Linked DNA regions of Anolis sagrei. The protein of the gene in region 2 interacts with the protein of the main gene of each other region in a pairwise test. Links are inferred from orthologs where the notes say so. Each region holds a gene or a part of one and is shown on either strand. Other genes may lie near its edges.

Evidence for each region. The genes of interacting proteins can lie anywhere in the genome.
Region 1: the proteins of DAZAP2 (region 2) and phospholipid scramblase 2-like interact in binary tests that used the Homo sapiens proteins (3 or more experiments, as listed by UniProt). The two-hybrid records come from large-scale screens. The link is inferred for Anolis sagrei from reciprocal best matches to the Homo sapiens genes DAZAP2 and PLSCR1.
Region 3: the proteins of DAZAP2 (region 2) and TNIP3 interact in binary tests that used the Homo sapiens proteins (3 or more experiments, as listed by UniProt). The two-hybrid records come from large-scale screens. The link is inferred for Anolis sagrei from reciprocal best matches to the Homo sapiens genes DAZAP2 and TNIP3.

The regions. Positions count from the first base shown.
Region 1 is NC_090023.1:239,099,305-239,109,467, reverse strand, and holds the start of phospholipid scramblase 2-like, read left to right. Parts: upstream 1-4,913; 5' UTR 4,914-5,100; intron 5,101-10,163. UniProt on the Homo sapiens protein: Catalyzes calcium-induced ATP-independent rapid bidirectional and non-specific movement of phospholipids (lipid scrambling or lipid flip-flop) between the inner and outer leaflet of the plasma membrane resulting in collapse of the phospholipid asymmetry which leads to phosphatidylserine externalization on the cell surface.
Region 2 is NC_090022.1:192,268,938-192,279,025, forward strand, and holds the start of DAZAP2 (DAZ-associated protein 2), read left to right. Parts: upstream 1-4,814; 5' UTR 4,815-4,997; coding exon 4,998-5,010; intron 5,011-9,084; coding exon 9,085-9,206; intron 9,207-10,088. UniProt on the Homo sapiens protein: In unstressed cells, promotes SIAH1-mediated polyubiquitination and degradation of the serine/threonine-protein kinase HIPK2, probably by acting as a loading factor that potentiates complex formation between HIPK2 and ubiquitin ligase SIAH1.
Region 3 is NC_090025.1:36,191,612-36,201,888, forward strand, and holds the start of TNIP3 (TNFAIP3-interacting protein 3), read right to left. Parts: upstream 5,251-10,277; coding exon 5,224-5,250; intron 1-5,223. UniProt on the Homo sapiens protein: Binds to zinc finger protein TNFAIP3 and inhibits NF-kappa-B activation induced by tumor necrosis factor, Toll-like receptor 4 (TLR4), interleukin-1 and 12-O-tetradecanoylphorbol-13-acetate.

The sequences.
Region 1 (10,163 bases), on a different chromosome or scaffold from region 2:
CATGCTCAGTCAGATTCAATTCGAGCTTTCCTCCAACGTCACTCTAGTCTCCACCTCGCTTGCTTCATCACCACCTAAGTGTAGTATCTACATTTCTCCTTGTTGAAACTCATTTTGTTAATTTACGATGCCATAAAAATCTCCAGCAAGCATGTAAAGAATGAGGAAGTACTTCAACAGTGTCACAAAAAGTGACAGCTCCCCTGGTGGCTAGAATACCCTCATGAAAGCTGGAATGTTAAATAGCCCCTGTGTGTCTGTCTATATATGTTCTGTGTCTATGGCATTGTATGTTTGCCATGTATATGTACATTGTAATCTGCCCTGCGGGGTGAGCAGAATATAAATACTGTAAATAATACATTAATTAATTTGGGCCCAGCAAGCTAATTACTTAAGGTCACTTTTAATACTGATGATGTTTCTTCTCTTCATTTTTTGTTACCTTTTATTTCTCTGCATTGGTTACTATAGTAGTTCTTGGTTATTACAATCTGATGGACAAGTTGTTAGATAGCTGACTCTAGCACTATTTCTACCACAGTTCATTTTTTTGCTTCTTCTTCTGTGTCCATAACCTCTAAAAGAATTTCACCTGTTATCCAGTGAGGCCTCTTTTTGCCTGCAGAAAATGTCTTTTTGCATCCTCCAAGGTAAAGTCAATGGCTTTTTGTTTCATTTTGGATTGTCCCATTACAAGATTGTCATGGTAAACGACATTCAAAATGGGTTTACTGTGCCTCCTTCTGTGCATTACTACCTCGTATGAGCAATGATACCACTTCCATTGTCTCTGAGACATCCTCCACCAATGCCATACCCCACTCCTTCTGATAACAATTAACTCTCTCGCACATTTAGCCTGACTGCTTAGCAAAAGCCTATCTGACACAGGAGACCCTACTAGCAGCACTGCTGTCATCGGCATAGCTTCTTGCTTTACAGGAGCATGCAATCCTCCCACAACCAAAGACAAATAGTGCCATGGTGAGGAAATCAGTATATATGCCCTAATCCTAACCTGTAGTTAAACATTACCTCCATCCAACCAATTCAAGCTGCTTTGGAAACCACTTGAAGTTATACAATAATGTTCCCTGGTCCAGTTATCTGAATGCCTAGCCAGATCTGAAGAAGTTGTGTGTGAGAGGATAAAGGATATGTGAAGGACAGCAGTCTAGTGATATATGATCAAACACAATGAGCTCTGCATAAATCAGATGTTCTCATCTACTTTGTCATCTGACTATTCTTTTACATTTTTACACATAGTTTTTGGATAGCAAGCAACATGCAAAACACACTTCTTTCTACAAGACATGCTAATGATAAATCATGCATATGCATTTGTATATGAAAAATGTGCTGCTTCTCTCTTCTTTTATTTGCATCTCTTTCATAATATCAATCACAATATTTTTCACATACATATATGAAATTATTTCTATAATTTCCCAAGGCAACACAGCCTTCCTGTCCAGCCAGTTTCCATTAAGACAAAGCACTCTGGTGTCAGGAGAATACCACTCTTTGGGAAAAGGAAAATCTAATAAGAGGATTCTTATTTAGCCAACACTACCAGATAGCATGCCTCTGCATATGAGTTTCTGGGGCACTTCAGCTGATTGGGTGCTATGTGATTGGAATCCTGGACTAAATAGACTGATTTGACCTTTAGTGACCGAAGCATAAGCACTTAAAAGATTTTGATGTCCCTACATAAATCTAATTCAAAATGTAAACAATGATAAACTGTAAACTAAAATTTTAAATTTAAATGAAATTAAATGAAACAAAACTTACAGTAAAATAATTATACATTTTGTATCCTTTCACTTTATATTTAAAAGCTTTTCTCCTACTTGTTATAATTGCAGTCTTTTTATTGTCGAGGCCCCTTTTGGTGGAATCTTGTTCAGCTGCATCATTTGCAGTTTTGCACTGTATGGTGACCCATGGTAAACCTGGCAATGCAAAGTTTGTATGGTATCCCCTTACCTTGATGCCTTGCTTCATTTGCTTAATGGTTAGCCCTAACATTACCTATGTTTGGAGCCGGTCTGGCATAGTAAAGTGAACTACAGGATTCTGAACACCAGGGTTCAAATGTCCACTCATCTTTGCAAACCCAGCATGTCACCTTAGGCAGGTCACATTCTCAGCCTCAGGTCCCTTCCACACAGCCCTATATCCCAGAATATCAAGGCAGAAAATCCCACAATATCTGCTTTGAACTGTGTTATCTGAGTCCACACTGCCACATATTCCAATTTAAAACAGAAAATATGGGATTTTATTCATCTGTGTGGAAGGGCCCCCACATTCTCTGCTTTGAACTGGGTTATCTGAGTCCATACTCAGAAAAGGTGGGATTTTCTGCCATGATACTCTGGGATACAGGGCTGTGTGGAAGGGCCCTAGGGGGCCCCTCAGTGACCTTGGGCAAGTCAAACTCTCTCAGAGCCCTTCCACACAGCCCTATATCCCAGAATATCAAGGCTGAAAATCCCAAAATATCTGCTTTGAACTGGGTTATCTGAATCCACACTGCCATATATTCCAGTTCAAAGCAGATAATGTGGGATATTTTTCAGCTGTGAGGAAGGGGCCCCAGCTTCGGCAGAAACCTCATCTGGGCAAATTTTCCCATGAAATCCCATAATCTCTGTTACTTGGGAGCGCACAACAATCAATGCTTACTAAGTCAGTGGTAGGGCCATAGCTCGGGGAGGGGGGGGGGGGGGGAGGGAGGGAGTTCAACCCTGCCTTGAAATGTGTCAGGTTAAAAAAGAAACCTGGTTTGTTCATAACTTGGTTAACCAGTTAAAATTCTTGAGTAAACCAGGTTTGGCGGGGGGGGGGGGGTTGTAGTTAAAACCCTTAACACACACACACACACACAGCCCTGTGTGTGTATGTATATATATTTGACAGTGTGAACTCAGATAATCCAGTTCAAAGCACATATTGTGAATTATCTTCCTTGATATTCTGGTTTATATGGCTGCATGGAAGGACCCTAAAACAACCAACCTCCATCTATTTATCTATCTGGTGAGGATGGGCCCTAGAATAACTAAACTCCCCCCTCCCCCCTTCTCTCTCTGGGGGATGGAGTTTAGTTGTTTTAGTGCCCTTCCACACAGCCCTATAACACAGAATATCAAGGCAGATAATCCACACTGATTTGAACTGGATTACCTGAGTCCACACTGCCAGTTCAATGTGGATTTTATGCAGCTGTGTGGAAGGGGCCTAAGTTTATTTATTTATTTACAGTATTTATATCCCGCCCTTCTCACCCTGCAGGGGACACAGAGCAGATTACAATGTACATATACATGGCAAACATTCAAGGTCATAGAAACACAACATATATAGACAGACACACAGGGGCTATTTAACATTCCAGCTCTTTTATGAGGGTATTCTGGCCACCAGGGAAGCTGTCACTTCACTGTCCTTTTGTAACACTGATGAAGTACTTCCTTGTTGTATTGTCCAAGGCTTTCATGGCTGGAATCACTGGGTTGTTGTAGGTGTTTCGGGCTATATGGCCATGGTCTAGAGGCATTCTCTCCTGACGTTTCGCCTGAATCTATGGCAAGCATCCTCAGTGGTAGTGAGGTCTGTTGGAACTAGGAAAAAGGGTTTCTATATTTGTGGAATGACCAGGGTGGGGCAAAGGACTCTTGTCTGCTGGAGCTAGGTGTGAATGTTTCAAAGAGTCCTTTGTCCCACCCTGGTCATTCCACAAATATAGAAACCCTTTTTCCTAGTTCCAACAGACCTCACTATCTCTGAGGATGCGTGCCAAAGATGCAGGCGAAACAACAGGAGAGAATGCCTCTAGACCAGGGGTCCTCAAACTTTTTAAACAAAGGGCCAGGTCACAGTCTTTCAAACTGTTGGAGGGCCGGATCATAATTTGAAAAAAAACAAACAAACACACACACACACACACATGAATGAATTCATTTATTTTTAAACACTGCACATATCTTATTGGTTGTGTAAAAAACACTTTAAACAATACAATAATTAACATGAATAACAATTTTAACAAATATGAAGTTATTAGTACTTCAATGGGAAGTGTGGACCTGCTTTTGCTGATGAGCTAGGGTTGTTGTGTGCTTTCAAGTCATTTCAGACTTAGGTTGACCCTGTGCGAGGGCTGAGTAAATGACCTTGGAGGGCTGCACCCGGCCCCCGGGCCTTAGTTTGAGGACCCCTGCTCTAGACCATGGCCATATAGCCCGAAAAAACCTACAACAACCCAATACTTCCTCATTCTTTGCATGCTTGCTAGAGATTTTTATGGTGTCCTAAATTAGCCTCCCCCGCATAAGCGGTACCTAAATATCCTACTTGACAGATACAACTGTCTTTTGGGCTGCAAAGGTCGACAGCAAGCTACACAAATTGGTCGGAAGCTCACTCTGACCTGGGCTGGCTTTTGGTCAGTAGTGATTTTAATGAAGCTGACGCCCAGCCAGCTGCGCCAAAGTCCCAGTTGCTAGGAATGAAGGTGGGAATATTATAAAGTCATTTTTGTATTGGATTAGTTTATTATGTTTGTTTGTTTGTTTACTTTGGTGTCTACGTTTATTTTATGTTTGTGTGAAAAAATAATAAAGGGGGGGGGGTGATAATCCCCAAGGTCTGCAAACCCTGAGTAGGGGAAGCGTAGCCTCCTCAGACTCCCACCCTGGAGTTGGCATCCGCCCTTGGATCCGAACAGGAACAGCACGTCTAGGGGCCGCGTTGTGCTTCCAGCCGGGCTCCATCCCTGACATCATCTCCTTGACGCCGGAATGCCTCCTTCCGCGCTGCCGGACTAATCGCATTTCTGGCTCTGCTTTGTCTGCCTCCCAGGCGCTCTCTCTCTCTCTTCTCTCTCTCTCCTTTGGGTCGCCTGTTGACGCCTATTTCCTCGCTGGCCTTCCTTCCCCCGTCCCTCCTGGCTGGCTTTTTTCACCTAATCTCCACCCCCAGATCCGCCCTTCCCGTAAACCACCCCTCTCTTCCTTTTGCTTTCCTCTTGAGCCAAACAGAGGGAAGTGGAAAGCAACGAAGCGGAGCAGCAATTCGAACAAGGTAATAACTACAAACTGATGGGGTGCCCACTCTGGGGAAGGCTTTCCATAGTTGTTGTTTCCAAAATAAGGCTGAGACCCTACAACGGGGGTTTCTTGGCAATGTTTGTCTACAGGGGGAATGCTGAAAGAATTGTCGAAGGTCACTCGGAGGGTTTGATGGCCGAGGTGTCTCTAGAGCCAAAAACACGCTTTTCCCCCACTCCTCCCTTACGAGTTCAGCCAGCTAATGGATGCATCTACACTTCTGAATTAATGCAGTTTGACACCACCTGAATTGCCATGGCTGAGTGCTATAGAATCTTGGGGTTTACATGATGTGGTCATTCAGGAGATACATCAGATATGTCTGATCTTTATCGAATGCTGTGCTCCTGGGACTTGTTTTGCAAAGTCTTTTGGCCTCCTCTAGTAGAATCATAGAGTTGGAAGAGACCTCCTGGGCCATCCAGTCCAACCCCATTCTGCCAAGAAGCAGGGAAATTTCATTCAAAGCACTCCCGACACATGGCCCATCCAGCCTCTGTTTAAAAGCTTCCAAAGCAGGAGCCTCCACCACACTCCAGGGCAGAGAGTTCCACTGCTGAACAGCTCTCACAGTCAGGAAGTTCTTCCTAATGTCTAAGTGGAATCTCCTTTCCTGTAGTTTGAAGCCATTGTTCCGCATCCTAGTCTCCAGGGAAGCAGAAAACATGCTTGCTCCATCCTCCCTACGACTTCCTCACATCATCAGTGCCATGCAACCTTTGACCCTCCAGATGTTGTTGACCCTCCTCTAAGCCTTCTCTTCTGCAGGCTAAACATGCCCAGCTCTTTAAGCCGCTCCTCATAGGGCTTGTTCTCCAGACCCTTGATCGTTTTAGACACCCTCCTCTGGACACATTTCAGCTTGTCAATAGCTCTCTTCAATTGTAGTGCCTCACCAAACTGCAAATCACAGGATTCCATAGCATTGGGCCAGGGTATCGAACTGTATTCAATCTACAGTGTAATTGTTGCACCTTGTGGTCATAGATGCCTACGTAGCACAATATTCTCAGAGGGAGAAAGGTGTTTGTGTGGAAAGTAAACAGAAACCGAACTCTCTGAGTGCTTTCGATTTCTCAACCCCCCCCCCCCTGTTTCCCCCTCCCTGCTTTAGTCTAGATTTTAAAAACAAGAGGAGCTTCCGCCTTCATTCACGACCAGGTGAGACCCTTTCCCATTTTCCCTCTGTCCATCCGGTGGGCTACTTCCTAACCTGGGCTTTCCACCTCTCCATTTAGTTAGAATGCATCTACCTTGTTGAATGGAAGCGGCTCAATTGCTCTGGCTCAAGGCAATCTATGGGCGTTGTCGCTTTGCAAGGCATGCACTGCACTGTAAGATGAATGCACCACTTTAAGTGCCATAATGTGAGGGAGTCTTGGGAGTTGTAGTTTGGTGAAGCACCAGCCCTCTTTAACAGAGAAACTTACAGAACTTGTAAAACTGAGACTCCCCAGATATCACCATCGAGCCAGGTCACCTAAAGTGGTGTCAAACTGCATTGATTCTACAGTATAGATCAGTGCCATGCAACCTTTGACCCTCCAGCTGTTGTTGACATGCTGAAAGGTGTCCAGAGGAGCGTGACTAAAATGATTCAAGAGTCTTTTCACTTCTCCATTTACTTAGAAGGAACCTATCTTGTTGAATGGCTCAATTGCTCTAGCTCAAGGCTATGTATGGGCATTGTAACTTTGCAAGGCATGCACTGTAGGATGAATGCACCACTTTAACTGTCACGATGTGAGGGAATCTTGAGAGTTGTAGTTTGGTGAGGCACCAGCCCTCGAGAAAATTACAGAGCTTGTGAAACTACCAATCCCTGGGTGTCATATCGTTGAACCAGAGCAGCTAAAGTGTCAAACTACAATATCAATCAGTGCCATCCAACTTTTGGCCCTCCAGGTGTTGTTGACAAGCTGAAAGGTGTCCAGATGAGGGCAACTAAAATAATCAAGGGTCTGGAGAACAAGCCCTATGAGGAACGGCTTAAAGAGCTGGGCATGTTTAGCCGTCAGAACATAAGGCAGAGAGGAGACATTATGGCCATGTATAAATATGTGAAGGAAGTCATAGGGAGAAGGAAACAAGCTTGTTTTCTGCTGCTCTGGAGACTAAGGCACCGAACAATGGCTCCAAAGTACAAGAAAGGAGATTCCACCTGAACATTAAGAACTTCCTGACTGTGAGAGCTGTTCAGCAGTGGAACTCTCAGCCCTGAAGTGTGGTGGAGGCTCCTTTTCTGGAGGCTTTTAAACAGAGGCTGGATGGCTGTCAGGGGTGCTTTGAATGCGATTTTCCTGCTTCTTGGCAGAATGGGGTTGGACTGAATGGCCCATGAGGTCTCTTCCAACTATGATTTTTTTTACCATTATATGGGCCCAGGCTGGCTCACCTAATGGTAAAAAATTCTGCGAGCAGAGGTCCAAAACACCCGGAAGATCAAAGATTGGACTCCACTCATGTAGATTAATAATTCCCAAACACCTCCAGGTGTTTTTGGACTTAGAACTCCAAGACGCTTGTGAGCCAGTGATCAGGGATTCTGGAAGCTGAAGTCCAAAAATACCTAGAAGACCAAAGTTTGTGAAATACTAGTGTAGAAGCTCCCAAGGTCTTAATACTTTTTGGCCAGAGAGTGTTTGTTGGTGCCTCACCCAAATACAGCTTACAGACTGTCATAGCATTGAGCCTTGGCAGCTAAAATGATGTCATTGCTTTAATACAGCAGTGTAGAATCATAGAGTTGGAAGAGACCTCATGAGCCATCCTGTCCAACCCCCTGTCAACAAGCAGAAAAATAGCATTCAAAGCACCCCTGACAGATGGCCATCCAGCCTCTGTTTAAAAGCCTCCAAAGAAGGAGCCTCCACCACATTCCAGGGCAGAGAGTTCCACTGCTGAACAGCTCTCACAGTTAGGAAGTTCTTCCTAATGCTCAGGTGGAATATCCTTTCCTGTAGTTTGAAGCCATTTTTCCATGTCCTTGTTTCCAGGGCAGCAAAAAACAAGCTTGCTCCCTCCTCCCTATTTATACATGGCCATCGTGTCCCCTCTTAGCCTTCTCTTCTGCAGGCTAAACATGCCAGCTCTTTAAGCCACTCCTCATGGGGCTTGTTCTCCAGACTCTTGATCATTTTAGTCACCCTTCTCTGGACACATTCCAGCTTGTCAACATCTTTCTTCAATTGCATTGCCCAGAATTGGACACAGTATTCCAGGTGTGGTCTGATGAAGGCAGAATAGAGGGGTAGCATGATGCAGTGTAGATGCAGCCCTTGTAAAATTACAACTCACATGATTCCATAGTCTTGAGCCACAGTTCAACTGTTGTCTAGCTGCTTCAGTTCAATAGGGTAGATGTACCCATCGGTGGTTGGGCTTCTATCAGCCAATTCTTCATCTGTCCAAAGCAAGGACTGTCCTTCTACCCAAAAGAGTTTGTGGTTGAAGAGCTTGCACAGGTACATCTCTATGTGTTCCTTTTTGAAAGTGTTAAGGAGCAAGGACAATGAACAAGATTATTCTACATGTCCCCCCACCCTCACCTTATGAATTCAAATATAGATTGAGTAACCCTTATTTGGAAATCAGAAATGCTCCAAAATCATCCACATGGGTAAGGGTGGTTTGAAAAGGGATGCAAAGTTGGGTTAATAAAACTATATAACAAATTTGAAAAAAAAGTTCCTCATTTGAAAGTTTTATTTCCTGTTTAATTGTGTGGAACTCACTTTGAAAGTAGTTGTTATACTCTGGAAACGTTGTTTTTGTGACTGCCACAAACTGTTGAATTGACAGAGACTCTATGAGATCGCAATTGAAAAAACATAGCAAAATATGCTGCAGGATGTCCCACAAAAACAAACTTTTTTGCAAATTGATAAACTTTTTCCATGGTTTTATGATAGAACCAATTAGGAAATGTCATTTATAACCCAGGAATAAACACTGTGTTACATAATGTACTAAATGGCAATACACACCCAAGAAGAGTAAAGTTCAATAAGGAAAGGGACAGCATCAACTTTTGACGTACTTCTGATTGTTCCTTGGTTCGTTGCACAATACAGGAAATATAAATTCTACTTCCTTATTGGTTGCTATTTATCATAGACTGGAAGAGTTACCTTGTTGGATTATCACTCCCCAAAATACCCAGCCAGCATGGCTATTTTGACACATTTTTCTTTTCTTTTTAGAAGTTAGATGTACAAAATATACAAAATAACAAAAATAATATGGGGCAATTTTATACCTCCCTGCTACTTGTAGATACTCATTCAGCTACAACCTACAATGTTGCAAAGTTTGTGCAGCAGTATACAAAATCCGTCAGAGGATGACTGGTCCAAAAGTTAACTCTGTGTCCAGTAATCATCTTCCACATTGTATGTTTTAACCGTGTTTCCCCTTTTGCTCCCTCACCCCCTATTGTGCTTCAGTATTTATATTTACATTTTAAGTGTACTAAACATACCAAGTTCATATTGAATTCTGACTTTTATTTCCTGTGCTAGTCTATGACTGAAATAAATGATTTGATTTGAGAAATAATATATACAAAAGCAACACATTTTCCTGAAACTTCGGGGAGAAATCAATGCCATCTAGTCATTTAAAAATATTCCATAAGAACACTGATCTTGGAAATATCCCAGATTTTACAATATTCTACCATTCTCAATACAAGATAATATCATATAGAAAGTCCTAAGTGGTTCAAGACCCAAGTATTTAAAGTAATGCTTGTTTCAGTACTGATCTGTTGCTTAAACTGTTACATCATGTAGATTACATTATAGTGAATACAAAAAAAAACTATCAAGCAATTTTTCATATTCTTCTACAAAGACTGCAGGATGTGAAACAATGTGAATTGTTTACATAGAGATTACAATCACTTTCTCTGCTGTTGAGTTGGCTCTTTCTTAAAAAGCAGTTTGACTTGAATAAATTTCAGCACTGTGAAATTGATCTGTCTTGTTCCAAGTGAAAACTACATTTCCTGGCAGTGCAGTGCAGGTTTACAGTAAT
Region 2 (10,088 bases):
AGCCTCAAGGCTTAATTAAACTTAAAATATATTTGCAGGGTCTCTGTTCTTTCCATTGATCTCTTATGCATGAATTTGGACGCTCGCTTGTTTCTTTTCCAAAGCACAGCTCCTCAGCAGAGAAATGTAATGCCTGAGAGGCTAATGATAGTTCCCCAACTCATTTTTATCTCCCAAGAGAACTGTTGTTCGTCTCGGTGAAACCAAAATTAAATGGCCATTTCCTTAATGTTGTCAGAGAAGGGGATTGGCTCCATTACATGGACCAGCGGGTATTAAGCAGTATATGGAAATGTAGTCCTAGAGTGCATTTAGACTGTAGTCTGATAGCACTCAAACTGCTATGACTCAATGGTATGAAATCCTAGGAGTTGTAATTTAGTGAGACACCAGTATTATTTGGCAGGCAGGACTAAAAATCCTTTAAAACTGCTACACCTATAGCACTGAGTCATAGCAGTAAAAGTGAGGTAAACTGCATTCATTCTACAATGTAGATGCTGCCTTTAAAAGAACTTTTGGCCCATGGCCACATTTAGCTGATGGATAACTACTGGTTGATATTCTACAGACCAACATGGAGTTGGATCTGGGAAATCAACCCCATATCAGACATGTAGCTCTTGGGCAGATCACCTCTGCTTCATAGGGTTGCTAGAAGGATGAAACACAGCACAGAGATCTAAGAATTCAATATCAAGAATTTGAAAAAGTCAGTTTGATAACCCTTACCAGATGCTTCATAGGTGGCACAAGGAGAGTCAATATATAATCAAACACTCGTTTCATTTAAAGCCTTGAATTAGGAATAGTGGTTCCTTAGCACCCTATGCAGCTTATCCTTTCAGATTTTTGTGTCTGTCCAATTCTCCAATATTTCAACTTCAGAATGTGGAGTTGTGATTGCTCTATAGTACTGTGTCTTAAATTATCAGTTTCAACCCCAAATGGCTCAACACAAAAATATAACAAGAGAAAAAGGTTTCTGAACACCACCCGTTTACATAAATCTCTTCGCAACAATATGCAGTGTTTACAGTTGACTCTGCAGAAAATGCTTCTGCTGTATCCATAAAAAGGAAAATCAGCCTGTTTAGCAAGCCTTACAAATGCTGATTTGCTATCAGTAAATGTTCGATATTTATATCTGTTATGTTTTATCTACCTATATACCCACAGTCACACAAAAAGTGGTCACAAGTTATAATGAGAGTTGTAGTTTAATGAGGCACCTGCATTCTTTGGCAGATCAGTCCAAACATCATATAAAACCATGACTCCCACAATTCCACAGCATTGGGATATGGCAGTTAATGTGGTATTGAACTACCTTAATTCTAAAGTTTAGATGCACCCTAGGATAAATATGTAGGATCACACCAAAAGAAAAATTTTGAAAAACACATTTTGTAAACCACATTTTACAGTTGCCATTTCCGTTGTATGCTTTGCATTTTAGACTGCATCATTTGGGTTGTATGCGTGTTTGTTCCTACTCCTATTTACATAAAATACATAAATATGTAAAACTACAAACCTATGCAAAATAGGTGTTGACTCCACTGTTATTACTGCATCAAAGTGAGCCCAGACAGCACACCTGGCTGGAAACACTTTCCTAGAAGAAAAACAGCCAAAATGAAACATTCCTTTCATCAAACCAACAAAACGAAAGGTAATAGCATCACACTGTTCAATAGAAGAGTAAGTAAAAGAGATAAAAAAGAAAAAGAAAAAAAAAGGGGGGGGGGGGAATCAAAGCATTACAGTATTGGCATTATTTGTTTTTACCAACAGTTTAAATATTTCTTTCTCAAATCAAAATTTCTGTCTTGACTTTTCTTAAGACTATAAGAATAGGAATCATAGATTAAAACATAGTGTGTGTGGGGGGGGGGGGGGGGGGGAGTTGTACTGTACAATGTGAAGTCCTCATGACATATTGTCATTCTGTTGGGAGAACCATCCAAGATAGATCCACCCTCTGATGCCAAAGGTGCATCTACACTGTAAAAATTGATGCAGTTTGACACTACTTCAACTGCCATGTCTCAGTGCTGAATATCAAGCAAAAAGTGGGTGCTAGAAATAATATCATACGAAAGCTGACTGGCACAACCTGGGGATCACCACCAGACACAGTGGTAGAAGAAGATAAACACGCACTGGCAGATAAACTATGCTGCTGAGTACGCATGCCCAGTGTGGAACACATCTCACCATGCAAAAACAGTGGATGTGGCTCTTAATGAGACATGCCACATTATCACAGGATATCTACACCCCACACCACTGGATAAATTATACTGTTTAGCCAGTATTGCACCACTTGACATCCGCCGAGAAGTAGCAGCCAATAATGAAAGGACCAAGGCAGTGACATATTCGACCCATGCTCTGTTTGGATATCACACAGCACACCAATGCTTTAAATCAAGAAATGTTTTCTAAGATCTACAGAGATACTCACAGGAACACCTCAGCAAGTGAGAGTCCAAAAGTGGCAGGCTAAAACCTGAAACCTCAACTCATTGCTGATACCAAATGGGAGACTCCCCCCCCCCCCCCGGGCACACAGAAAAATGGGTGACTTGGAAAGCACTGAACAGACTGCGCTCTGGCACCACGAGATGCAGAGCCAACCTTAAGAAATGGGGCCACACAGTGGAGCCCATGACATGCAAGTGTGGAGAAGAGCAAACCACAGACCACTGATCACAATGCAGCCTGAGCCCTGCCACATGCTCAATAGAGGACCTCCTTATAGCAACACCAGAGGCATTCCAGAGGCATTCCAAGTGGCCAGCTCCTGGTCAAAGGACATTTAATATTTGCCAAGTTTTAAAACTTTGTGTGTGTGTTTTTTAAAATACATTACAGTTGTACCCTTGGTTTGCTTCTGATATGATAAATAAATAGTGCTATTGAATCTTGGGAGTTGTAGTTTTACAATGTCATTGGCACTCTCTGCCAAAGAATGCCGGTGTAATGGTAAAAAAATGCAAGGATAACACCGAGTCTTCTAAAGTGGAAAAAAAACCACAGGATTTTATTTATAGCTTAAAAGAAAACAGCAGCAAACAGTGCTAAAAACAATGCGATATAGGATTTAACACTTTAAAAAGACATTTTACAACCCATTCCAAAGCGTATTTACTCGAGGCCAATGGATTTTGCAGTGGGTCTTATGATGTAATTTGATGAAGCACACTCTTCAGCAGAGAAGGCTGCAAGTGTTATAGAAGTGGGTTGTTGTAGGTTTTTTCGGGCTATAGGGCCATGTTCTAGAGGCATTTTTCCCTGACATTTCGCCTGCATCTATGGCAAGCATCCTCAGAGGTAGTGAGGTCTATTGGAACTAGGAAAGTGGGTTTATATATCTGTGGAAAGACCCGGTGGGGCAAAGAACTCTTGTCTGTTGGAGCTAGGTGTGAATGTTTCAACTGACCATCTTGATTAGCATTTGATGGCCTGGCAGTGGCTGGGGAAATCTTTTGTTGAGAGGTGATTAGGTGTGCCTGATTGTTTCCCATCTGTCATAGAAGTCTCCAAAATAGCAGAGTATTTAACAATGCAAAACGGGATACTTAACTGAGCAGTTAGCTCACAGCAATCAGAAGGTGCAGTGTTGTGGCTGTAAAAGAATTCTTGAGCTATGGAGGCAAAGATGCAAAGTTCAGTCCCTAAACTTGGGCCCTCCTGGTGTTTTGGACTTCAACTCCTACAATTCCTAAAAGCCTCAGGACCTCCCCCCCCCCCCCCCTTATCTGCTTAATTTGAGGCTGTTTGGAATTGTGGGAGTTTAAGTCCAAAATACCAGGAGGGCCCAAGTTTGCCCAGGCCTGGCCTAGCCTAATGCTATCTAGTTGCTTCTCATTGCCGATCCATCTCAGAGCCCAATTCAAAGTGCTGGTCTTGACCTATAAAGCTCTATACGGTTCTGGCCCAGTTTACTTGTCCGAACGCATCCACCCCTACGTCCCACCTCGTAATCCGAACGCATCCACCCCTATGTCCCACCTCGTGATCTAAGATCATCCGGGGAGGCCCTGCTCTCGCTCCCGTCACCAGTGCAAATGCGTCTGGCAGGGATGAGAGACAGGGCCTTCTCGGCTGTGGCCCCCCACCTATGGAACACACTCCCAAATGAGGTAAGATCCGCTCCCTCCCTCCTGGCTTTTAGAAAAAAAAATTAAAATCATGGTTTTGGGACCAGGCCTTCGGGCAGCAGAAGTAAATGTATGCAGCATTTCAGGAAGACAATGACTGGAATGGCGATTTGACGAACAAGACTGTTTATTGTTTTAATGATTGTTTTATTGCTTATGGATGTATGGTTTTAATTTGATTTATGTTTTGTAGTGTATAATTGTAATTGTTTGTACTGGCATTGAATTTTGCCATTACTTATGTGTAAATCGCTTTGAGTCCCCCTCGGGGTGAGAAAGGCGGTATACAAATACTGTAAACAAACAAACAAACAAATAAATAAATTGAGGACTGCAGACTTGAGCAGTGTGTGGTTGAATTCAAACAGAAAGACCTTGTAAAATTATAACTCCCACGCTCCCATGGTAGTTCAAAGTGGCACCAAGGTGCATTCATTCTGCAAGGTTGGGACGTCGGCCAAGCCATGGCAATTGGGAATGAGGGCTTGCACAAGAGTGGCGGCCTCCCACCCAAGCGAGAGCCAGCGCCGACCCTGCTTAGCTTTCGAGGCGCCTGTGCGTCCCTCAGCGCCGGAGGCCACGCCCCCTACCTGACCACGCCCCCTGACCCTGCCGGCCACTCTCGGCGTCCCATTCCCCTCAGCGGCGTCGCGGCGTGACGTCAGACGTCTCGACGTAACCCCTCTCCTCAGGGCTGCAGCGACAACAACAAGGAAGTGATTGAGCGAGGAGAGCCGTCCCTGCCGCCGCCGCCGAAAGCAGGAGTTGCCGGAACCGTCGCCGTGCCAGCCCGCCTTTTCCCTCCGCGCCTTTCTCGACGCCGCCACCATGAACAGCAAAGGTAAGCCAGGCAGGCCCCTTGCCCTTCCAACCCCACCCAGTCCCCGCTCACCTTTCGCAAGGGCGCTGTCCCTTTAAGGCTGGCGCCGCAGTCCCGTTATCTGCGGGCCTTGGACGTAACGGGCGGGAGCCCTGGCCAATGAGAGGCCTCGGGAAGCCGGGGTGAGGGGGTGGGGGGAAGGGCGGGTGTTCGGTTGCTATGACGCAACGCCTCTGCTCAGGACAGTTAACCCTTCCAGTGTGAGGGCCTTCCTGGCCTCGCTTCCTGGGGATCCCGAGGCACCGTCACGACTCAGGGGGTTGACTGAAGGCAGAGCGGATGCCTGCCCTCATTCTACAATTCAAGTCCGCCTGAAAGCTTTGGATGTGGATGAAGGGAGGAGGACTGAGGTTGGGGCCTTGAAAAGGGAAGAGGAGGATCCCGAAACTGCCTCTGTTCCCACCAAATGTAGATGGAGCTCAGTAGGGGCTTGTATTTCAGAGGAAGGAACGGGCAAAATCACCTCTTTAGTATCCCTTGCCTCAGGAAACACTATGACATAAACAGGGATTGCCATAAGACAGTGGTTTTCAACCTGGGGTCCCCAGATGTTTTTGGCCTACAACTCCCAGAAATCCTAACAGCTGGTAAACTAGCTGGGATTTCTGGGAGTTGTGGGCCAAAAACATCTGGGGACCCCAGGTTGAAAACCACTGCCATAAGACAACAGGCAAGGCGCTTGAAGGCACACAAACGCATAGGAAATAAAGCAAAACATAATAGCCTGCAAGGCCTCAGCCATAGGAAAAATGGAGAATGGGGGTTATGATCACAAAACTATCCTGTCCAGACTTATATCAGAAAATCCCAAATCTGTAATGATTTAGGCCAGTGGTTCTCAACCTGTGGGTCCCCAGATGCTTTGGCCTTCAGGTCCCAGAAATTGCAACAGCTGGTAAACTGGCTGGGATTTCCCCAAGTGTTGTGGCCTACAACTCTCAGAAACCCCAGCCAGTTTACCAGCTGTTAGGATTTCTGGGAGCTGAAGGCGAAAACACCTGGGGACCCACAGGTTGAGAACTCTTGATTTAGGCTCCTTCTACACTGCCGTCTGTTATCCAGATTATCTGCTTTGGACTGGATTATATGGCAGTGTAGACTCATATAGTCCAGTTCAAGGCAGATAATATGTATTCTCTGATTTAAGAATCTGGATTATATGGCAGTGTAGAAGGACCCTTACTCTACCAAGCAATCCCCTATCCCAGCGTTTCTCAACCTGGGGGTCGGGACCCTGGGGGGGGTTGTCAGAGGGGTCACCGAAGACCATCAGAAAACACAGTATTTTCTGTTGATCATGGGGGTTCTGTGTGGGAAGTTTGGCCCATTTCTATCGTCTGTGGGGTTCAGAATGCTTTTTGATTGTAGGTGAACAATAAATCCCAGCAAGCACAACTCCTAAATGTCAAGGTCTATTTTCCCTAAATCCACCAGTGTTCACATTTGGGCATATTGAGTATTCATGCCAAGTTTGGTCCAGATCCATTATTGTTTGAGTCAATAGTGCTATCTGGATGTTGGTGAACTACAACTCAAGGTCCATGCCCACCAAACCCTTCCAGTATTTTCTGTTGGTCATGGGAGTTCTGTGTACCAAGTTTGGTTCAATTCAATCATTGGTGGAGTTCAGAATGCTCTTTGATTGTAGCTCAACTAAAATTCCCAGAAACTACAACTCCCAAATGACAAAATCAGTCCCTGCCCCTCAAGCCCACCATTATTCAAATTTGGGTGTATCGGGTATTTGTGCCAAATTTGGTGCAGTGAATGTAGATATATCCTGCATATTAGATGTTTATGTGACGATTCATAACAGTAGCAAAATGACAGTTATGAAGTAGCAACGAAAATAATTTTATGGTTGGGGGTCACCACCACATGAGGAACTGTATTAAGGGGTCGTGGCATTAGGAAGGTTGAGAACCACCTACCTATTGTAATTTTGACTCATAGTTAAGAAACATATGAAGCAACAGGAAGTGAGAGAAATTTACCCCCAGGAAGGGAAATTCACTACAGGGGGAAAAGGTGTCCCCACTAAAGTTTTATCGCTGATCCTTGTTTCCACCACAACCCTATATTTTCAAAATCCAATTGACAGGGGTAGAAAATTAGGTGAAATCTTCCAAACAAGGGCACAGACAGCAAAACAAATCTTTCAGGAGTGTTAACCTTTATGCAAACCAAAACATATATATGCATGTATTTCTTTAAGTGGCTGGAGTTACAGTTTAAAAATGCACCTGTTCCTACTTAAAGACTAATTCAACTTACAAACTTACAGAACCTATATTGTCTGCAACTTGGGGACTGCCTGAATGTGATTCTAACCTATATGACATCACAAATCCAAAGAGATGGAACCTATGTGATAATGGGTGTTGTAGACTATATCCTGCCACTGAATGCCTAAACCAGGGGTCCTCAAACTTTTTAAACAGAGGGCCAGGTCACAGTCCCTCAAACTGTTGGAGGGACGGATTATAATTTGAAAAAAAATATGAATAAATTCCTATGCACACTGCACATATCTTATTTGTAGTGCAAAAACCACTTAAAAATACAATAATTAAAATGAAGAACAGTTTTAACACATATAAATTTATTAGTATTTCAATGGGAAGTGAGGCCCTGCTTTTGGCTGATGTGATAGGGATGTTGTTGTGTGCTTTCAAGTTGTTACAGACTTAGGTTGACCCTGAGTGAGGGCCAGGTAAATGACCTTGGAGGGCCGCATCTGGCCACCGGGCCTTAGTTTGAGGTTCCCTGGCCTAAACAATCAGTCTTACTATCACAAGAATATATCTGTCTGCTTTTGAAAAATCCACAAAAAATCTTGCTGCATTTGTACATCCCTATACTTTAAAGTTTAAAATACTATAGACAAAAAGGGGTCTCTCAAAATGACTTAGGTTACTGATAGTCTCTTGTAAAGCAGATAGCATGCATTGTCACAACCAGCCCTACACAGCAAAAATGCCTTTTAAGTCGCCCCTTAGAAGGTAATAAATGGGCTGCCTCATGTGATTTCATTTCAACAGCCACTGATATGCTTTCTTGTTTTTGTACCTCCCATAAGGAATTTGTTTCAATGTTGAGTTGACCTTCTCTAGCTAGGGAGCTGCTTAAACATAAGATTATTTCATCCTCTTTAAAATACACTATCAGCCTGATTGTTTGAACTCCATATCTAAACAAATTGTTTGAACTGCTCTAAATACTTTCTGAGCAGACGTCTTATCAATAGGAGGGTAGTGTAGCGTTTACTACTGAATTTAAACATAGCTTGCTATAAGGTGGATCTACACTGTAGAATTAATGGTTTGACACCACTTTAAATACCATGACGAAGTGTTATGGAATCATGGGAGTTGTAGTTTTATAAGGCCTTTAGCCTTCTTTGCCACAAAGTGCTGGTGCCCACCATACTATATATCCCATGTCCAATAGTATTGAGCCATGGCAAACTGCATTAATTCTACAATGTAGATGTACCCATAGTTGAGGCACAGGGAAGAGAGTTAATTAGGCCGCTATCCTGTATATATGTTCATCAAGTGATAAATCCCACTGAATTATAACTTACCTCTGGGAGGGATATATTGGATTGTGCTGTTAGATTTCGGTTGTTTTGCATGCTTCACTTTGAAATTAGCAGGTTAATGGAAGAAAAATAGATTTGGTATCTGACCATAGTAACAAGCAATTATTTTCTTTCTGACTTATTTATATTCCCCACGAGATGGCACTCTCCAGTTTTTAAAAAGTAACTATTGACTATCTTTGTTCTTAATGAGAGAACAGGTTTGAATGACATTGATTAAATCTCATTTCTTTTGAGTTTCAAATAGTTTCCGGCAGGTACTGAAAAGCAGATGTTTGTGGAATTTGGACCCTCCTCAAATTAGAGAGCCCTTTTCTTGAATATCTGTATTTGTTCAAGAAAAACTCCCAAAGGAGGGAGTTTCCCTGATCTCAACACTTCCTGTTTCTTCCCAGCAACTGTGCTAACACTGATTAACTTCCTTCTTTTAGGTCAATATCCTACCCAGCCTTCCTACCCAGTTCAACCTCCTGGTAATCCATCGGTGTTTCCACAGACCATACCTCTTCCTCAAGCTCCTCCTTACACTGAAGCTCCTCCTGCTTATTCAGAAGTATGTAATCTATAATCCATCCAATAGAAAAAGATAATACAATCTTTGTTGAATCTTACAGTGTCTTTTATTTCCTACAAACAGTTACAATGGTAATAAGGATAGTAATAAAATTGTGTTTCTTCCAGTAGAATATCACCTGCTAACCCACCTGGTGACATTTTGATCATGTATTTCTAAGTTCCTCTTAAAATGTTTTGATTGCAACCATATGCAGAATATTTGTGTGTTCAAATCAGAGTTTAGGTACAGAAGTGGAAGCCTCTCGTTCTCAGAGTTCACACCAAAATTTTATTTATTTATTATAAAGGATCATAATCTTGATTGCTTTTGAGAAGGACCAGCCCAGCTACTTTATAAAGTCTAAGACTGTTATTCTAGATCGGATTGCTCACTTGGGTGGGCTGATCTGTTCCTATGTCTTACAGGACACCTTATCTTTCATAGTGGTTTGGCTAATATTCGTTGTAAAGTTAACTGGCTTTAAATTATACTATAGCACAAAGCAGTCCACCTTCTGGTAATAACAGCACACCAAGAGCTCACTGTGCCTGTTCCAGCTCAGCCTTTGTCTCTGTTGACGTCTTCTGGTTCAAGATACTGATATTCCCTTTATATCAAAATCTTAGCAGCACTGCCCTTGACTGCCAGAGGTTGTCTCTTTTCTTCTGTTTCACTGCACCAACAGCACCTGCTGCTTGAGCCTACCATTTACATGCCATGGACAGCAAAGGAACTTACTTAGAATTTTAAAAAAGAAACAACCTTCAGAGGATGATCCAGCATTCTGCATCTCCCTTCCCATGGAGGCTCATCAAAGGGCAAACATAATCATCTTTTGGATACATTTTGTGGCCTGCTTGCTAGCTATCAGACTGAAGT
Region 3 (10,277 bases), on a different chromosome or scaffold from region 2:
ATGCTAATCAAGGTAGCCAATTGCTACATTCACACCCACCTCAATCAGACAAAAGTTCTTTCTCTCACCCTGGATACTCCACAGATATATAAAGGTTTAGCACAGCTGTTAAATCATCAGCAATTATAAGGTCTATCAACCAAAATGTTGCAAGTTCGAAGCCCTGGGTTGGCGTGAGTTGCCAACTGTCAGCCTAGCTCATTGTTTACCTAAGGAATTTGAAAATAGCTTTAGCTGTGATTAGAGAAATTAGATACCGCCAAAAGCTGGGGGGGGGGGGGTGTTTTATGACGCCATAAAGAAAAAAGATCAGAGAATTCTGGGCAATCAAAAGGAAGGAAGAAGTCCTGATGGCTCTTCGTCATAGAGGATAGAGCAACAGCATGTCCTGAACTCAAGCCCAACCTTCCATGGCGCAAAAAACAGCTGGACACTGAGTCAAAACAAACCACCTCCTTCGGTTCTGTCTGTCTGTGTATTGTCTATACAAAGCAACATTGAATGTTTGTCGTGCATGTATACTGTGATCCAGTGAGAAGGACGGAATATAAATATATTATTATTATTATTATTATTATTATTATTATTATTATTATTTTCCTAGTTTCCAACAGACCTCACAACCTCTGAGGATGCCTGCCATAGATGCAGTTGAAACATCAGGAGAGAATACTTCTGGAACATAGCCATACAGCCTGGAAAATACACAACAACCCAGTGATTCCAGCCATGAAAGCCTTTGACAACACAAAGAAAATGCAATTTTTAATTACAAAAAATGAAACTTGGGGGAACTGGATGCATCTTTAGCTTTTGTGAGACAACGTATAGAATTGCCCCACCCACCTGTAACATTTATAAAAGAAAGGAAGAACAAAAGGAAAATGCCAATCTGCTTCGATCAAGCTATCCAGTTTTATTTTATTTCTTACTCAATGATTTTAAGGGTCATACCCTATTGTTCCATGCTACCTGTAAGTGTTTGCTCATTGTGAAACCAATGACCTTTCCCTCACAGCAAAACAAAATAGACCACCCTACTGAGCAAACAAGTCAGGAGGAAGTGGAAACAACTTCAAGAGAAAGACTGAAAAGGGGAATCCTCTATCCACAAAATGAGGGGGTGGTAGGAGAAAATAGGACCATGATGGTTCACAAGAATTCACTGGTATCTTGGCAACTTCTTTTTTTCTATTCTGTGTGTCTTTTCTTTCAATTCTACATTTTGTGACTGAGAGCAAACTAATTGGGACAATAAAGTGCTACACTGCTTCTGGTATATAACCAAGCAACGTAGGAAGGCAAATGAAAAACTGGATTCCTGCCATCCAAATTGGTTTATTGTCCACTAAGGATTTACTTGTTTAGGGATTTCCATTGGGGAATAATAAGGAAATGAGCTAGAGAAAATTTAATATAATTCGAAGACAACAGCTTACAACACATGATCCCCCAGTGACTTGTAAATGGCCAGGCTGCAATCCTATACCCTCTTGTTAGAGTAAATCTCATTAAGCTCAGTAGATTTACTCCTAAGTAGACATGTATTGGATTGTGCTTTTAACTGCCAATGTATTTAACGTACAAAAAAAAAGGAAGAGTGGAAAATTGTAAAATGACACAGACATTTGTTATTGTTTAGAACTTGAACTAAAACCTCCCAATACACATCTACAGACCAATTTTTTAACATTAGTTAGTTTACAAGATTTCTCTTTGGGAGTGTTAAAAGAACTCCAAACACATTTGTGTATGTGTGTGTCTGTACACTTGAAATCTATCTATCAAGAGATTCATTATTCAGGAAAAAGGATATGACCTGTTCCCCATTTCTCAGCATAAGCAATCAACACAAGATGTCCTCTATCTTCCTTTTAAAGAAATTTAAAACGTTTCCAAGCCATTTAACAATTTGAACAGGAAACGTTTGGATGTAAGCCTTTGCAGAAGATTTTCATAGTTAAACTGGGTGGGGAGTTTGCATTTATTTTTAACAAGCACTATTCAGATGTAACTCGTGAAGTAGACTAAGGGCATTATCACATGAGGTTTGAGTCTGAAGCTCCCTGGCCATGAAGAGAAGCACCTACCATCCCATAAAATCATTACAAAGTCACCTCAAACCAGTATTCAACACATGTCAAAGGACTACTTTTTTAAAAAGGTGAATCTCTAGTTTTAGGATAGCTGATCCTACTTCTGGTGACTCTCAAATATCTATAGAAGATATCAGTTAGAAGGAGCAGTAACTGAATGTCATAATAACATGGGTGTACTAATTTCATTTTCCCTCACATCCATATCAACATCCTACAGGGATCCTGAAAGAGGAAATGTTCACAGGATCTTTCCCATTAGTACTAGTCTGGTTAGCAAAATGTATTTTAAATGTATTATTTCTGCCTCATCTCTCAGTGGATATCTAGGGCAATTCACAAAATAGAGCTAAAATCATAGCATAAAAAGATATAAATTACAGGAGAGTTGATGATTGCATAACTAGTTTTGAAAAGACTAATAATTGGTTTGTTGTTTATTCGTTCAGTTGCTTCTGACTCTTCATGACCTCATGGACCAGCCCACATCAAAGCTCCCTGTTGGCCATGGACACTTCCAGCTCCTTCAAGGTCAAGCCAGTCATTTCATTTTCCCCTAGCATCTTATCCAAACTTTCCTGTCTTCTCATTATGTGGCCAAAGTACTTTGCCTCTAATATCCTTCCCTCAAGTGAGCAGCCAGGCATTATTTCCTGGAGTATGGACTGGTTTGATCTTCTCGCGGTCCAAGGCACTCTCAGAATTTTCCTCCAATACCACAGTTCAAAAACATCTATCTTCCTTTGCTTAGCCTTCCTTATGGTCCAGCTTGCACATTCATAGGTTACTACCAAGAATACCATTGTTTTAACTATGCAAATCTTCGTTGCCAGTGTGGTGTCTGTTCACTATTTTATCAAGATTGTTCATTCCTCTCCTCCCAAGAAGTAAACGTCTTCTGATTTCCTGGCTGCAGTCTGCGTCTGAAGTAATATTTGCACCTAGAAATACAAATAAATGGATCCTAGAGCAAATCAAGCCTGAAACCTCCCTAGAAGTCAAGATGACTTAACGGAAGCTGTTGTAATGAAAATACATTACTCTATTTTTTTTAAAAAAAAAAACAATAATGGTAAGGTAGATAGAAGTATCGCTCCAGCAGGAAGGTAATGGCGCTCCATGCAGTCATGCCGGCCACATGATCTTGGAGATGTCTACGGACAATGCTGACTCTTCAGCTTAGAAATGGAGATGAGCACTGCACCCCAGAGTCAGATACGACTGGACTTAATGTCAGGGAAAAAACTTTACCTTTTTAGATAGAAGTAGGAAAAGAGGAGACCATATATTCCAGAAGGTTTGACTAAAGCTGGATTTACACTTCCATATAATGTGGTTTCAGAATGCAGATTAATTGCATTGAAGTGGATTGTATGAGTCTATACTGCCATATAATCAGTTTCAATGTAGTTAATCTGCATTCTGAAACTGCATTATATGGCAGTGTAGATCCATTCCTAGTCAAGGAAATCTAAGCAGATCTATTGAAGATAAGAGAAGTCTTTCATTCATAGGGTTGCCATAAGTCAAAGTCAACTTGAAGACAGGTAACAACAACAACAAAGAGTTTACTACTGCTAATCTTGATCTCTTGGCAGTTTATCATTCTAGTTGATACAATGCTTATTATTTACCATTGATATTTTTAAGGAAAATCTGTCTAAAAGCATTAAAATGGTGAAAAGCCCCAAGTAATGAGAAAGTAATAGGAAAAAGTAATGAGCAAACACAACTAAGCACATAAATTAAAAAACTACTCCATAAAGTGGAGTCCACGACATGCGAGTGTGGAGAAGAGCAAACCACAGACCACCTACTACAATTCAGTCTAAGCCCTGCCACATGCACAATGGAGGACCTTCTTATAGCAACACCAGAAGCACTCAAAATAGCCGGCTACTGGTCAAAAGAAATGTAGTATAATGCTAAGTTTTTTAAACTTTGTGTTTTTTAAAATTATCACAACTGTACCCTCAGTTCGCTTCTAATATGACAAATAAAAAAATATGATAAATAAATTACTTCCAAGCTTAAAAACAGCATGCAAACTTTTTAATTTTTTTTAAACGAAACCTATAAAATAAAACTGAAGTAGGAAAATTTTATTGGAAATCTAGAAATTAATGATAAAACTACCATAGTGTTATAGCATTGTTATCTAGCTATCTACTGTATCTGTATAAAAGAAGACAAATACAAACTTTAAAAAAAATTAAAGCATTGAAAAACTCAGGAGAATTTTTTAAAAATTGCATAAATGTACTTTGCTGGATTCTCTTTATGTCCTTCTAATGCAAGGGGATTTAGTCACAATCCATATTAATCCAGTGGGATCCACTTGGTGTTTTAACCCACCTGTGTCTAAAATCAGAGTAAATGTTACATTTATTTCTCCCTCTTTCTCCTTTAATGATCAAAATATTTCATTCTTTGTATTTATATTAGGAAAGGCTGAGGCTGATTTCTTGTTTTTACTTGAGAAGAGTATAAACACTGAATAATTTTTGATCTGAGGCTCTGATTTCTGTTGGATAAAGAGATGTTATGCTTGGATATGTACTCATAAAATTATGAAGCAACTGAGTACTTAGACACCGGGGAACAGGCAGGAAAAACAAACACAGTCAAAGCAAGGTGGAAGGGAAGTGTTAAAATGAATTATTTTGCTATCATTTATTTTAAAGAGGGTCTTCGTCATGCTTTGGACACCACGAGAGTTCCACATTTACAAGTGTCTGGGGTATTAAAAAGGATATAGCAGGCATTCCATCGCTTATAAAACTGTAAAATAATTGTTTAAGCTCATTAACATTATATGTTGCATATATGGCATTCTCTGTCAGGATAGAATCTTACGCCATCCCAGACACATCTGTTTGCACATCTGATCTTAGAAGAGAGTTAACAGCTGGAACAGGAAATGGAACAGTCTAGTTGTCTTCCCAAGACTATTAGGGCTAACTGCTAATTAAATACATTTTAGTTGATGGTTGGTTTCTTTAGAAAATGTGAATAAAGAAATGCTGTTCAAGCCTCATCTACACTGGCCAGTTAATCCAGAACCAGTCTGTAGCAGAACCAGTCTGGTCCGAGTCCAGAGATTGCATCAGCCCTGCTGGACCATCACCTTACCATTCATGTTGCTGTCCTTCATCCCTGTCCTTCTTTCTGGTTATGCAGGCACCTTTGCTGATGCAAGCAGGTAGTGCCTGCATTGACCAGAAATTCATACAGAGCTCATCTGATCCTCTGGAGGGCACAACAGCAGTGACATGGGCCCAATCCATCTCCTGCCCAGATGAAGTGGAAAGGGAAAAAAGAGACTTTGAGTTGTGGTTGCAAAGAAGAGAAGATGATGGAGATGGCAGAAGGGAAGGCAGAAGGTGCAGCAAGTGATCGCAAGATGCAAGAGATGGCCTGTGGGGCAGCATGACCCACATTTAGGAACTTATTCTGATATGTATTGTCGAAGGATTTCATGGCCAGAATAACTGGGTTGTTGAGGGTTTTTCGGAATGTAAGGCCATGTTCTGGAAGCATTCTCTCCTGACGTTTCACCTGCATCTATGGCAGGCATCCTCTGAAGTTGTGAAGTCTTCTGATATGTTCATGCATCCATGACTTTTGGGCATCAGTAAGAAAACTGAAGGGAAAAACAAAAATACAAAAATAATGGACAATACAGTCCATTACAAGTGTCTGTCCATGACAAAACATGGTTGGTATTTTTCACATTATGAATATACAGAGGCAGCCCTAGGTAATTTTCAACAGTAAGCAAACTGTATTTTGGCACCACCCCCGCCCCCCAACCAATCATTGATATATATTTTCTGTTCGTCGTGAGAGTTCTGTGTGCCATATTTGGTTGAATTCCATCATTGGTGGAGTTCAGAATGCTCTTTGATTGTAGGTGAACTATAAATCCCAGTAACTACAACTCGCATATGTCAAGGTCTATTTTCCCCCAAGAGCATCTCAAGAGCGCCCCTGGGCAAAATCAACTATACTGCAAATGCTTACTTTGCGTAATGGGTTGAGCTGCCCCTGTGAATATACTTCACATGGTTCTTCTCCAACAAATAATCTCCACAACAATTTTGTGAGCTAGATTTGCTGAGAGGTACATAATTAGCAGAATTTTACATTGCATTCAAATGGATGGCCCCAATTTGAAGTGCTGGAATATGGCAACCTGAGTTTAGATGACATGATGGCTTGCAAATATTTCATAGTGTGCCATATCTAGCATTACCACTACACCAGTATGCAACTATGCCTACACAACCTGATAAAAAACCTGATAGATACTGTAACACTGCAACGATTGTGGGAAAGATATTCTTGCAATGCCACTTTGGATGTTGAACACTTTCTCACCATCATAGATGATGCCCTCTAAGCTGTGGCCAGGAAGCATGTGCTTCCAAAAGTAGCAACAAGTAATAGTAGTGGAGATTCATAGCATTCAAGGATTGTACAAGTGTTGGCAAGCAAACTTGTCTTAATATGTGGATCACAGCAGTTTAAAATTGACACAGGATGAACACAAATGCATGTTTATTACACAGAAATGGCCCGCAAAGCCCTGATATTTAAATGTTTTATTTAGAGCCATCACTAAAAGCCCCTCCACCACTTGTTGTACTTGAAGAATGGCCTCAGTCTGCGTCAATGCTGCTGCGTTCAGCTTTTATCAAGGAAATCCCCATGTCTTCCAACAGAGCAAATGTTCAAGTTTGCTCAGAGGAAGGATTAGTCAAAGGGCGAGGGAAGTTGTACATATCTGTGGTTTTCAGCCACTTACCTCCCTTGTAATTTAGCAAGATTGTGCAGAAGAATCGGTTGCTAGTTTTACTTTAAGATTAGCACAGAAATAGTGGTATCTTAAGCCCTGTGTTTAAACCAGTTCTCTTATGCAGACCGAGGGGAAAGCACCACAGCAATAGTAGTATCTTAAGTCTTGTCTTTAAACCCAGCTCTCTTCTGCAGTGGTACTGTATCTTAAGTAACTCTGATGTTTTTATTTTGTATCAAAAGCATTTCATAAATTAGTATAAAACTGATAAAAATAGAGGGAGCACAAATGGATAAATATCTTTTGACCAAAATGGACAACAGCAACCACATTGCCTCAAACAATTCTTCATCTGTACATGAGGCAGGACATTGCAGACAAGCATACAGATGCTGAGTTGTCTGTTCTGCTCCACAGCCTCACAAGTTGGAGAATTCTTTTAGGTCGTGCCATTTTGCCAGGTTGTCTTTTGATCTGCCCACTCTACTTCTGAGTCTGTTCAGTGACTTCCAAGTTGTCAATTCCAGGTCATAATGAAAGATCATAAGGACAAATCACGCCATTGCCAAAAATGATGGGAAGAGGAGGGGAATCTCCCCCCCCCCCCACCGCCGCCGCCCAATTGCATCCAGATAAAAGAAAAAATGAAATAGTGGGGCTGGGCACTGGGCTGTGTGTGTGGTATGTGGAGCATCTTTGATGTTTGGCAGGAAGGAATGGTGGCCTGCCCTGCCCTGCCTCCCTCCTGCTGCTGCTCCTGGAGAAGTTAGAGGGTGGGGAATGTTTTTAAGGAAATTTAAGGAGATTTTATTTCTAGAAAGAAAGAAAAATCCTAAAAAATTGAGAGATGACCCAAACATTATAAAACCTGGGATAAAAGTGGTAGATGTGCCCTCCATGTGTGACTAGCCCTAAAACTGAGGGAAAGGGGAGACTGGGGAAGCTTGCCCATAGTGGCCAATGGGTCAAAATTTTTCTTTCTTTCTTTCTTTCTTTCTTTTTTTTGGATACGAAATGAAAATGCCCATTCAAAAAGGCAAATGGGGGGCTTATGAATGAAACAAACAGAAACGGATCGGGATTCTATACAAATGCACAAGACTAATAAATAATAGATGGTTACTGCATATATACATTATAATGGAGCATTTCTATATTATCTATTCATCTCTTTAGAATGTTATAATTCTTTTCACTTTTTTCCTCTTTTTTTCCCTGTCCACCACACACCCCATATCCCTACCACGTTTTCCTCTTTATTTTTTTATCTTTAACCATAAACACAATTTTCTTAGTCTTTGTACAATATTGGTGTTGGCTTCCTCACTTTCTATACATTCCATGCACATCAACCATTTCTCTTCCATTTCTTCCATCTTGTCCTCCTACACACCAATCAGATTCTGTTTGTCTACTTTCTATCCATTCTATGTAGATCAACCATTTCTCTTTCATTTCTTCTGTCTTGTTTTCCTGCATATCAATCAGATTTTGTTTGTCCAGCTTGGAAAGTGCTGTAATAGGAAGGGATAGAAGAGTTAAATGCCTGTGGCTTTTTTGTAGTCAGAAATATCAGTACATCTTTTAGACTGAACTCCTAAGCACACATTTATTAGAGGGAAAGTCCAACTGTATTGGTACTGACTTCTCAGGATTACAAGACTGATCTTTAAATAAATGTTACTCCGCACCTCCAACTTTACACCTGAAAGCCAGGAGAGATATGACCAAGCAACTCTAGTGTGTGGTCAAGATGGCAAAAAAAAAAGATTAATAAAAAATAACACCAAGATAGGAGAGGTTGCACCAGCAATATATATTTTATACACAGTGAGAGGGGGGACTTATACTTCAGAGTACCAGAGTGACTTATACATTGTTCGCTTTTGCCTGAGTGAACTGGAATGGGCAGCATTCTTCTCTGCTGCCTGCTGTAGAATTAACTCAATGCAAGCTTCTCCTGCAACTGAAGTAAACCTAGAACAAAAGAAAAAAGGAGGAGAAGGAGAAAGAAAATGTGACATTTTAAAGTAGTTGAAAAAAATGAAATACAGAAGATTAATGTGGAGTGGCACTGCCAGATCAGGATAGTTGACAGTATGTTTACTTTGATACTAGGGATAGAGGTACATATAAAATAGATTTCATCAGTTAAATAAGTTAAGCTTTTGTTTACCTGTTAAGAGTGGAATTAATTAATCACAAAAAACCATTTTAACTGAATAATCTAGTTGGGGTTTTGTTACTATGACTCTGAAATACCTTCTGGTTACTGGAACTGATCCTGTGTTCAGAACCTAGGAGATGTTCCTTCTGGACTACTACTCCCAAAATACCAGGGCCAGCAAGGCCCCAAGATTCAAATTATAATTTGCTTCCACAACATAGAAGATCACTGACTGCTGCTGACCAGACTTTGTTATGGAAATTACAAAGTCCCCTGCCACGAGTTGCTGTGGCACCGTCTGATGACCTGGGAAATAAAGTAATCAGAAGGTGTTGGTTTCTTATATATGTGATTTCTTTATGCTTGTGGGTAAACAGTATTTCGTGTTGTTTCTTTGTCAGTGTTGATGTGGAGATTGTGTGGTTTGCCTACTCTGGAACATGCAACATATAATTGTCCTTCTTTAGGGGTCCCTTTCAAATCTATGATACTATATTTCTGTGTGTGTGAATCATATATATTATCTATTAATATCTATGGCTGGATGGCTCTTTGTCAGGAAGCTTTGATTACATTTTCTTGCCCTGGTGAAGGGAGTTGGACTGGATGGCCTTAAATATTTTCTGTTGTTCATGGGGGTTCTGTATGGGAAGTTTGCACCAATTCTGTCGTTTGTGGGGTTCAGCATGCTCTTTGATTATAGGTGAACTATAAATTCCAGTAACTACAACCCCCAAATGTCAAGGTCTATTTCCTCCAAACTCCATCTGTGTTCATATTTGGGCATATGGAATATTCATGCCTAGTTTGGTCCAGATCCATAATTGAATCTGCAGTGCTCTCTGGATGTAGGTGAACTACAACTCCCAAACTCAAGGTCAATGCCCACCAAACTGTCTAGTGTTTTCTGTTGGTCATGGGATTCCTGTGTGCCACGTTTGGTTCAATTCCATCATCGGTGGAGTTCAGAATGCTCTTTGATTGTAGGTTAACTATAAATCCCAGCAATTACAACTCTCAAATGACAAATCATGTTTTTTTTAGTGATGGTTACTCCTTGGGTTAGTAAGTGTCTTGTGGCCAAATTTGGCAGCAATTTGTCCAGTGGTTTTTGAGTTATGTTAATCCCACAAACAAACATTACATTTTTATTTATATAGATTTGTTAACTTATAAAGCTCTACACAGCTTTGGTCCAGACTACTTGAGACACCAT